Drosophila melanogaster: one gene and its partners. The protein of the gene in region 1 interacts with the protein of each later gene in a pairwise test. Each region holds a gene or a part of one and is shown in the gene's direction. Other genes may lie near its edges. The genes, in order: CG1394, RluA-1 and rtp.

The links.
Region 2: the proteins of CG1394 (region 1) and RluA-1 interact in a two-hybrid assay, tested with the Drosophila melanogaster proteins (one large-scale study listed by BioGRID).
Region 3: the proteins of CG1394 (region 1) and rtp interact in a two-hybrid assay, tested with the Drosophila melanogaster proteins (one large-scale study listed by BioGRID).

The regions. Positions count from the first base shown.
Region 1 is NC_004354.4:11,169,238-11,172,283, reverse strand, and holds CG1394 (uncharacterized protein), read left to right. Parts: upstream 1-1,605; 5' UTR 1,606-1,774; coding exon 1,775-2,278; 3' UTR 2,279-2,473; downstream 2,474-3,046.
Region 2 is NT_033779.5:10,471,197-10,476,084, reverse strand, and holds the start of RluA-1 (RluA pseudouridine synthase 1), read left to right. Parts: upstream 1-1,735; 5' UTR 1,736-1,803; exon of another isoform or gene 1,804-1,937; intron 1,938-3,599; exon of another isoform or gene 3,600-3,758; 5' UTR 3,759-3,913; coding exon 3,914-4,609; intron 4,610-4,888.
Region 3 is NT_033777.3:5,235,447-5,239,216, reverse strand, and holds rtp (retinophilin), read left to right. Parts: upstream 1-1,901; 5' UTR 1,902-1,957; coding exon 1,958-1,985; intron 1,986-2,043; coding exon 2,044-2,344; intron 2,345-2,550; coding exon 2,551-2,818; 3' UTR 2,819-3,125; downstream 3,126-3,770. Other genes in the region: CtsF (cathepsin F), read left to right, coding at 20-763, 823-1,004, 1,061-1,326; Mms19, read right to left, coding at 3,183-3,374, 3,489-3,770. UniProt on the Drosophila melanogaster protein: Plays a role in promoting axonal degeneration following neuronal injury by toxic insult or trauma.

The DNA.
Region 1 (3,046 bases):
TTTCTTTCAGTGCACCAAAGCTATGTGCTGTAATTTTAATTTTCCCACCCAGCATTTCGGTTAATCTTCGCTGTGTTTGTATATTTTTTTCTTTTTTTTGCGCACTTGTGTCGCACTTATGTATCATCATTTGTTTGGCTCTGATTTAATACTAGCAATGACACAATGTTGACGCCGGCCGAGGACAGGCAATTTAACTACGTTGTCGCCACTGCAGCGCGTCAAGGACGTGGGCATGACAGTCGGATGGTCACCCGGCCTTACAGTCATCCAACCATCCAACCATCCAAGCATCCAGCTATCCTGCCATCCGGCCAACGCCTCATCATCGCCCCTCAGTCGTCATTCCGTGTCCCATTAGGCGTGGGCCTTTGTCTTTGCTATCATTATCAACACCCTGCCATGTTGCGTTCTTTTATTTTTCTCTCAGCTTACTGCTTATTCTTCATATTCGCAGGCACAGTTAAAAATAAAATGCGGCCAACGTTGCGTATACGCAATATCAGCATTGAATATTAAGCATACGCAATGTTGAAACATTTAATTCCTTATTGTCAACTAGAACTATAAAGTAATAATTTATACTGTACATTTGTTATATATGTATATATTTTTAGTATGAATTTTCTTTCACTGCATCTGGTTGGTTTATGAGACATTTTGTTGTTGCTTATTTTGCTTTCGCCTTCGTTTTCACTCAGTTCAAGTGTTTTGCATTTTATGCTTGGCACAAGAATCAAGTGGAATGTGAATGGCCAAGAGGGTGAGAACCTTAAAAATACCGTATTTAAATGCCAATCATGTGTGAATCAAAACGTGTTAGATGGGCTATAAGATCAAGTTGAAAGTTAAACACGAAATAGCATATAATTGCTTATATTTGCCAAAATGTTCAATTACTTTAATCGAATTTAATGCAGTTTTATAATTGTTTTATAGTTAGCAAAGTAATTAGATGCACAATGTTTTATTTCTATTTTATGGTACCAAGTCTTTAATACCCATTTAATACCCAGTGTGTAAATAAACGTTTGTTGCCGCGTCTTCGTCATTATCATCTGTGCTGCATCACGACAGTTGGCGTCCTTTTTCAAAAATTAAACACAACGCTGGCCATGCCACGCCCCTCGGTCGCCCACCGCCCCCATTTTCCGACAAGGCTAAACCAAAAAAAAAAAATCATAGAAATAGGAATCAAGACTCAAGAGCAAAAAGATGAAATGAAAATAAAAAGAAATGTCATTTATCACAATATAAAATTGTATGCTAAATAACACGGAATGACCTGAATTAGAAGCACAAAAACCTTTATGAACAATCTTATGTCAGGTTAATAAATCAAATATTTTACGATGATGTACATATATACTATGGTAACTTATAATTTGCTATTCAAAATATTTAGAAAATATATTTACTCTTAGGCATTTTATGGAAGAGCTAAACCTAAAATATGTGCCAAGGTAAAACAATCAATTTAATATCGTATGTATTTTCATGGCCAACTGCAATCGGTCGAAAAAAAATTTCCAAAAATTTCCAATCAACATATCCATGAAATTAAATGTCAAGCCGAAAAATCGAGGTACCCCAGCCGGAGCTCCAGATTATCAGTTATATTTTAGATCCCAAACAGTAAACACCGTTCAGCGGAGCAAAATTTTGTACAACTTTTATTTGGTCAAAAAAAAAAAAATCGAAAGAAAAACTGTTTCTTTTTCACCACTTTCCCAAATTATTTGTATTTAGGATTTACTCAACCGCAACTCACAATATGTCGAATTCGTTTTCGTACTGGAATGGCCAGCCGTTGAATGCTCCCGTTTATCCGCAGATGGGTGACTTCATGCAGCACTCTGCCGCTGGAGCAGCCGCTCCACCACCACTATCAGCAACAGCAGCAGCACCAGGATTAGGATCAGCCGGCGGACTAGGAGGTTGGCCTAGCCAGGGCGCAGCTCAGGCACACTCCATGCTACCATACGCCGGAGGAGCCGGTGGCATGCCGGCTGCCATGCCGGGTGCCATGCCGGGCGTCATGCCGGGTGCCATGTCGGGTGCCATGCCGGGTGCCATGCCGGGTGCCATGTCGTGTGGCATGCCCATTACAGGAGCCCAGCATATAGTGCCGCCACCCGTGGACCGTTCAATATATGGAGACATACCCGGACGAAATGAACCGTGCATCGACAATGGCGAAGCCTTCTGCGCCTACAACGGCATGGACATGAGCATGAACTACGGCGGAGGCAGTGCATCCAAGGGTGGCTTCTGGTAGGATCGATGCCACGAACAATGACAGCACGAGCATCTTCACCGAACGACTAAAGTGAATCGCATATGGGCCATATACATACACAATTAGTTTTCGAACCAAACGTCCGTTTTGTGCAGCTCAAACGACTCGTACTTGGCGAAAATGTATAAAATAAATGTCATAAATCCATAAGATATGAAAATAATCAGTTGGCACAAATCGGTGGGTGGGTTAATTGCATTAATAAATACAGAGATGAGTTAACGTGCGGCAAATTGAATGTGAGAAGAGCGTTGTAAACTCAAATCGCATATATTTTATATGCTAATTACTAAATAGGCAAAATGTGATGTATGGCAAAGGTTACTATTGTTATTTTCACTCGGCAGTCAAATATTGAAGTTTTATTTTTTATACAAATAATTAAAGCACAAATCAAGCTTACATTGTAAATATTTCGATTTTTCTATTTAGTTTAAACAAATCAAATTTAAATAACTAGGTGCAAACCATTTATAAGATTAATAGACCCAATTTTCCACCGTATGATTATCTTGAGCACTTCGTATAAATATATGTTCTTGAGATTCGCATTGTAAAGTACAAAAAACAATACAAGTTTCATCGTTTCTAACTATGCAAATACAACGCCTGCCGCCCCTTTTGTCGTATCACAGGGCGTGGCTGATTGTCACAGTGATGAGATGGCAATTTCTCAACACGCTAACGAGATGCACTTACAAAAAAATGGGTATGCCCATTGGGAAATTATTCTTAAAAAAAGATTCG
Region 2 (4,888 bases), on another chromosome or scaffold:
TCGTGACCAACCGCGTTTCAAGGAGACCTCCACTCCACTCCACTCCATATACCCGTAGACCATGGCGTCGGGATCTGAATGGAATGGCCCGTGCGAAAGTGGGTGAGTTTCGGAAAACAAAAGTCACGCAGTCAAACACGCAATTCGCGGAGCCTTAGCCCAAATTTGATCAAACATAATGCCTTCTGTATTTTGGTTAGTTGCTAATTGGAAAAAATTATTAAAACTAATCCAACTATCTTTGAGTTGTTTCAATAGTCCTTGCTTATCTAAGGATCAACACGAGCTCGCTTGATTTAGCTTAATTTGTTGCCTACTTTTTGGCGCTCAAAAACATGGAACCAAACTTACAAGGATAAAGTTGCTTAGATACTGAAACAAAAATTATGTTTTTTTAGATTATAATAAGAATTTCTTCACTTCCACAAGATCTACGTTACGAATTTCACTTTTGGTGAATCAGATCTTTTATACTTTTGTTTCGCTCATCATCAGCCTCAACATTCTTTTGTTCATTTTCACTGTGTCAATCGGAAAAGGCAAACGCATTGTTTTCAGAATATATGTACATTCATGTTGGTATGTAATTTTTGAGGAATTCTTTCGAATGATTATTTGGTGCAAGTCGTAACTGATATTAGAAGGTTGTGGCTGCAACACCAGAAGTATGATTTTGAATATGAAATTGCTTCGAGCATTCCGAAAAAGTGGATTTTATACGAGTAATTGTGGGTGTGCCAGAGGACACTTACCATTTGTTTAGGGGAATTGTGTCAAATGGTCCCTGTGGCTTTGCACATCAGTGAGTTGATAGAAAAATTCAAGAGCAACTTACTCGAAGTCCTATAGAATTAAGCTGACCACTTACACAATTTTGTTTTTGAAGAAGTTCTTTACAAAATTAAAAAGAAGATGAATTGCTAAATTTCGTATGTCATAAAACCATTGCGATACTAATTTCTGGCCTAATTTGTAAAATCCTTTTTATTTTACAAAAATGCTAATACAGTCATGTTGGAATGTGTTGCAAGCAGGCAATCGCATGTTGCATGTTGCAGTTCCATTTCGAGTGCAACCACAACCAAGTCGCCCGACTTTTTATTTGAACGCGAAAGGTGAATTTTGGATTAAGGCCTTAAACCACAAAAATTAATCAAATTAATGGTTAATTCAATGGTTTTGGCAACAATTAAATGCTTTACCTAAGTAGGTCTTAATTGGTGCACTTCGAAATAGACATTCTAATAAAACGCGTAATTACTCGTCAAAGTATTTTATTTTAGTAATTGAATTATTTATTTATTTATTTTGCTGTTTGGCGCATGAGACAAGATTTTTAATTATAAGAGTTCCATAAACTTGATTTTAAATTATTTTAGAAGAAATACTGCTAGAAAAAAAAAACTACATTTCATGTAATTTATTGACAACTTACCATTGCATCAAACAAGTTACAAATTCACCACTATACAGTGGACCAAAAATGCATTTTATGGGTAAGAATAAAACTGTTTGGGAATAATATATTTATTATAATGTTAAAGTTTTTAAATTTGTTTTACCATATTGCAAAACCGGCTCGAGATTTTCGTAAATTGAATCAAACATTTAAACACCTGATCCTACCAAACATTTTAAAATTAAAAATGCGGTTTGCCCCACTGTGCAGCGGAAAATTCACCACGACGGCGAACGGCAACCCAAGTTTGTTATGTTTGCGCCAAGTTTTCTGATTTCATTCGGTGTTTTGGACTCGGCGAGACTGGAAGTTGATGCTGCCGCGTGAATGCCATCGTCGGTCAGGTATTAAAACGTGACACTTCTAATTCGCGTGTGATTCCCCCGAGTTTGCAGTCAATTTGTGATCAGAAAACATTTAAAATGCGTGGTTTACTTTGTGAAAAGATCTAATAACACTATGAAACTTAAATCAATGTGCAAGTGACGGTTATATAAATTAATTATATTAATTTAAAGCATAAATAATGCGAAGAGCCTGCAAATAAAGTACACTAAAAATACTCAAGGAAACATAATTTTTGTCGACATAACTCGAACAACATAATAGTGAATAATCAACGGCGCCGACATTTTGGCTGAAGAATACAAATTTTCATAAACGACAAACGATAATTTTCCATAACCAATAATATTATGACACATTTTATTGGATTTTAGTGGCTGAAACTATGGAACTTTGAATGAAATGATTCAAATAATTGGGCATATGTTAGAATTCATTGCTATATAAACCGATTATTATGCGCTTATTAATAGGAAAAGCAAAACTAAAAGAAACATTCTCCATCGGGTCGCAAAACGGTCCATTAAAATTATTATGTTGTGCTCTATGAAATTCTATGAGCCATTTTAGTTTTGTATTTTCCTTACCAACAGTTTAGAAACGAATTTACCTTCTGCTGGCGCAGATATACAAATTTTCTTATAAATATAGAAGTATCTCTCACTAAATTTGTTGTTCTTGCTTTTAAGCCCATGATCTATTGTCATCCTGGTGATTTTGAGATCTGGGGACTTACACATGAAACGTTCACACGAGCGCATATATAGGATGATTTTTTTTTTTTAAATATATTTTTTCTTCCCATTGTCTACACATAATATAGTTATGCAAGCATTTTGTTTGAGAAATGTACTAAAATCACTCGAAAAGATACACAATTGTGGCTGATAAAATGGAACTAAGACAAAAGACGACTGATGACAAAAATGAATGTGGCTATATCTCTATGTCTCTATGTACATACATTCCTGCGTCTTAAGGCACCGAAAATCTCGAATAATTCTTTGAAATTCTGGTATCTTGTCGATACAGCCCGAGTGGACCTAGTAATATACAAAAACTTAATTTAGCACAAGCTGCTAGCGCAAATGAAAATGTTTACACGTGCGCATTTGTGCCATTTGTCTCAGTAGGTGGTGAGGTATATATGCACGCTATATATACATATGTACATATATATATACCTGATTCTAAACATTCTAAATCGTGAGCCGATATCCTCCTAATGCCTGGTCTCGTATACGTATTATTCCATCCATTACACATCCAAACAGTCCAATATATAGGCACCCCCATACGCATTTCTTCTTGCCAGAATTCTGACAGACGCATGTACGGTTCCGAATGTAGGTTTATACGTATTCTAGAGGATATATTAGACTTTGTCTCGTGCAATTAGAGTAGCCAAGTAGCAGATGGCCCCCGCGTGTATTCCAAATGTATTTTCAAAGTATCCATTATCGTTTGGCTTGTATTTAGCAAAAGGAATCTACAACTCTCATGCGAATAGAAATTCTTTGATCCAATAATGCTCTTGTGTATGTATGGCCAATGAAAATATTATTGTTAAAAAAATATTAACGCGCACACGATAGACAAAGTTAATGCAGTGCAAAAGCTAATCAACATATTGTTCCGACTTTTGTGTGTGTGTGTGTGTGTGTGCGATGGGCTATTTTTTAACGCCAATCCGCTAATAGAAACCACAAATTAACGCATTTCGTGGAGCCTAATATGCAAGCTTTGGTATAGGTGTTCATAAACACTATAAAAAATAAATAAGTCGTTTGTTTAGGTTTTTAATTCGCATTATACAAGCCCGAAAATCGCTTCGACTTTTCAAATAAAACAGTCGAAACAGCATATGTACGGCCAAGACAATTTGTAAACACGTACAAGTACACAAAACGATTTGTAATTGACTTTAAGAGCCATAATGCTATCGCAATCGAAGTAAACAACAGATGATCGTATAACTCGGGAATGTATCCGTGAAGTTTTCTATCCGCAGCGATATTAATGTCATTTTCGATCAACAACAAAAAAAAACCCATCCAATCTGCAGTTTCCTCTCAGTGAAGTGAATAATTGCCCAGGATCGTGTCAACAATGCAGAATTCTCCGGCTCCGTGTGCCTGGTACTTGCCCTGGTCCCTGGCCGCCCAGCAGCACCAGCAAAAGATGCTGCAAATGCAGTCGCCGTTTCTGGACAAGATGGGCGCCACATCGGTGGGCGGCATCTTCGCTGGCCAGCCGCAGATGCAGCAACAATTGTCGCCCAATACGGCAGCAGCACCGCCGGCAAACTATCAGCAGCCCGCTTTGCATCCAAGCGCCGCACCAGGCGCACCACACTTCCACATGGGATCCCCGTATAGCCATCTGGCACCGCAGCTCCTCAACGCCGGACAGCTGAACCAGAACGCACTGATGCACTCCGCCATGTTCTCTTCCCTGCCACTTGGTGCGTACTATGCACCCGCCGCCGGCGCAGGTCACTCGGCCTTTGGTGGCGTTCCCCTGACCACGGCTGCCCAGCAATCTCTATTGGCCGCCACCGGAGGAGCAACTGCTGGCCATTTGGCCAACCAGCAGACGACGGCTCAAGTGCCCGTCCAGGTGCCCGTGCAAATGGCCCAACGGACAGCTCCGGCCGCCTGCTCCATGGTCCAGCCACTTAACTGCCTGCCGCACCAGGAACTGAATCACCTGTCGTCCATCAATCTCAACCTGCTGCGCAGTCCGGCGCCTCCGCTCCCAGCCATTCAGGTCTTGCCAAGTGCCGAGGTGCCGATTAATAAGAAGGTGAGTTGCAGTTTGCTTAGTACTTGTAATGATAGGCACTATTCGTACTTGAGCGAAGGCTAGTACTTAAATTACGTAGACAAGTGCACTGAGGCAAAATATCAGTAACTAACTTAGTGGTACAATAATATACGAAAGATAGTCTCACATGAAACTATTATCTTAATGATGGAAATATGTTACGTTAAAGGGTGGAGCAGTTTCATTGCCTTTTTTGTTTTCTTGATCATTCATAATTGGTATATTGAATACTTCATTGTATAATATATACACGTTTCT
Region 3 (3,770 bases), on another chromosome or scaffold:
CTCGTTTGCTGTGCTCTAGAATTGTGAAAGTATACTCAGCCTCGCGGCAAGTGGATTCAGGCATCTTGACCCGCATCGATGCGGATCTAATCGACGGGTCGGAGGAGCAGCACCGCTGTATCGTGGATATCTGGACAAAGGTCTGGGTGAGGAAGGATGAGCACGAAATCACCTTTAAGTGCCGCAACCAGCCGGTGGTCCAGGCCCGACACACGCGATCCGTGGAGTGGGCCGAGAAGAAGACGCACAAGAAGCACAGCCATCGCTTTGACAAGGTGGACCACCTCTTCTACAAGTTCCAGGTGCGATTTGGCCGTCGCTACGTAAGCACCGCCGAGCGCCAGATGCGCCTGCGCATTTTCCGTCAGAACCTGAAGACTATCGAGGAGCTAAACGCCAACGAGATGGGCAGCGCCAAGTACGGCATCACGGAGTTTGCTGATATGACCAGCTCGGAATACAAGGAACGCACGGGACTCTGGCAGCGTGATGAGGCAAAGGCCACTGGCGGATCGGCGGCTGTCGTACCGGCTTACCATGGTGAACTGCCGAAGGAGTTTGACTGGAGGCAGAAGGATGCTGTCACCCAGGTGAAGAATCAGGGATCCTGCGGTTCATGCTGGGCCTTCAGTGTGACCGGCAACATCGAAGGCCTGTACGCAGTGAAAACGGGCGAATTGAAAGAGTTCTCCGAACAGGAGCTGCTGGACTGTGATACCACGGATAGTGCCTGCAACGGCGGCCTCATGGACAATGCTTACAAGTAAGTTACGAGGGAATGAACATTACGATGTAGATACTTATGTAATAATTCCTCCGCAGGGCCATTAAGGATATTGGCGGCCTAGAGTACGAGGCTGAGTACCCATACAAGGCCAAAAAGAATCAGTGCCACTTCAACAGGACTTTGTCCCACGTTCAGGTTGCCGGCTTCGTGGATCTGCCGAAGGGAAATGAGACCGCCATGCAGGAGTGGCTTCTCGCCAATGGTCCCATTTCGATCGGTAAGTCGATGCAGAAAATTAACCCCAAAGCCCACTTAACCAGATCATTTCTCTAGGCATCAATGCGAATGCTATGCAGTTCTATCGCGGCGGAGTTTCCCATCCGTGGAAGGCCCTGTGCTCCAAGAAAAACCTCGACCACGGTGTTCTAGTTGTGGGGTATGGCGTCTCCGACTATCCCAATTTCCACAAGACCTTGCCCTACTGGATTGTGAAGAACTCGTGGGGTCCGCGCTGGGGAGAGCAGGGCTATTATCGCGTTTATCGTGGTGACAACACTTGCGGCGTCAGCGAAATGGCCACTTCGGCTGTGCTGGCCTAGACTTGCTTTGAGTCCAATTATATACAAGCATACGACTATATCTAGGTTAATAATTTAGCCAGTAACTTTGTGTACAATTAATTCTGTTTCCATGTTCTTCAACCGTCACGATAAGGAGTCGTTGAGTTTCAAAGCTTCGCCTATATAGTATAATCATTTCAGACATCTGTAATCTCACGAAAAAGTCTGCATCCACATATTCCGCTTTAATTGAAAATAACAATAAATTGTACAAGAATTAAAACCTGGTTGGGTTTATTATTGAATCCATGACAGCTCTGGCCGCAGCAACAGTTGGTCAAGATTGATGGTTGGTTGGATCAAGAAAAATGTTGAATTTATGTGAGATGTATTCAAATTATTCGATTAAAATGGTTTGATTAAATATGGGTGCCAGAGTATTATTGGCTGTTAAGAAATATTTATAACTGCTTCAATTACTGGAACATTTGACCCAGTGATTTTGATGATTGATTTTCAAACACTTTGTCAGTGTGTAGAAGTGCAATATGTTAATTAGATTTAGACCAGGGCCGTCGCACCGTGGGAAGCCATAGAAAATGAGTGTTTCTGGTGCAGAACCAGCCAGCTCAGTAGCAGCTTGAAGCGCATCGCGGGCGGTAGCGGAGCAATGGCCATGGACGACTACGATGATGACAGTAAGTGAACACAGACAAAAGGATGCAGATACAAAATTGCGTAAAAATCATTACCCAGTGAGCAGCGTGGGCGTGACCACGGCCCGAATCGAGAACCAGCACCAACAGCACCCCCACCAGCAGGGTCAGCATGGACACCACCAACAGGGCCAGGGTCAAAGCCAGTACAGCGCAGGGGCGGTCAAAGTGGGCGGATGGCGATACGAGGACGCCAGTCGCTACATCGGCGAGTGGAACCAGCGTGGCCAAAAGCACGGCATCGGGCATCTGCAGTTCGCCGATGGCACCCGCTACGATGGGCAGTTCCAGGAGGGTCTTAGTCAAGGAGTGGGCTGCCTCTGGTTCGCGGATGGAGCAAAGTCAGTTTCAATAATATTAGTGATGTAAACCTAAACGAAATATTGTAGCACTTGAAAACTATTCTTGTAGCCACTACTCGGGGAGTAAGAGGAAATGCTAGTATATATATTCTTGATCAGAAATGGTTTAGCTATAATTTACCTAGGGTTTGCATCCAGTGAAGAAAATTGTATATGATGATTCATTTTGCACATTTTTAAGACAGATACGAAGGCGAGTTTCATCAGGGCTGGTTTCATGGTAATGGGATCTTCTGGAGAGCCGATGGAATGAAGTACGAGGGCGAGTTTCGAGGCGGCAAGATCTGGGGCCTGGGATTGCTGACGTTCCAGGACTTCACGCACGGCTTTCCCAGAAACGAGGGATTCTTTCAAGACTGCCGCTTTATGAGACGACGTCGATGTCCCGAGGTGGTGCAGCGTGCACAAAAGTGCGCTCTTATGGCCCGTTCCCAGTGCGAACACCCATACTGAACAGACACTTCAGATTGGTTACCAGTTGGTATTGATAAACACGTACAGTTTAAAAATACAAATTTTAGTAACCGACTGTAAGAGTCTCAAGTCATAAAACAGAAAAAGGTGCCTTTAAGAAAAGAAATAAGCATTTCTTTCTTAACATCTTAAACTTTAATACATTTGCGCATAAACGTTCGTAAATGTATCTAAGTAATATAAAATGCATACAATTTCGCGTTTACTTTATAATTTTGCTTTTTCCAAATTCTTTATCAAAAATTCTTCAACGCACCCTAATAAAAACAACAAGAAAATTATGAAGAATTTGTGCGTGTGCTTATTGGATTATAATATTAACAAGAACGGAGTTGTTTCTCTGCTAATTCGGACTAGGCGCACCGACCAGGTACCACGCATTCCTGGCCTTCACCGCTGTGTTCCGCACCAGACGCTTGGGATCATCCAAGGCGGCGGCCAGGGCCAGAGTAACATCGACTTTGTGGGGCAACAGGACGAAGGTAGGATACTTTGTCACATCGTAGAGCAGCTGCAGCGCCGCAATTCGCACTTGCTATAAGAAAGAAAATGAGTTTAAGTTTTGTGTTCGACATTTTCCTTTACAAGTTAAGAAACCTCCTCAATTAACTATCAAATCTTTATAATAATATGTGCATGTTTAACTTACCATGGTATGCTGAGCCTTGTATTTCGACAGCTCCAGACAGCTGGGTATGAGGTGGGCCAAATGCCCTTGGAAATACGTGTCCTGCTGCGCCACAAACTTTTCACAGATGCCCAATGCAATGCACAGCGACTGCGCCTCGTTGTGCTCCTCCAAGCTCTTGAAAAGCAGCGGACCGAGCTGCTCAATGTTTAGCTTAATAACCGCCTGTGGCGTGGCTTTCAGTACGTAGACAAAAGCCTTCAAGTGGTGCACACAGTAGTTGGCAAGTTTGCTGCCCATTTT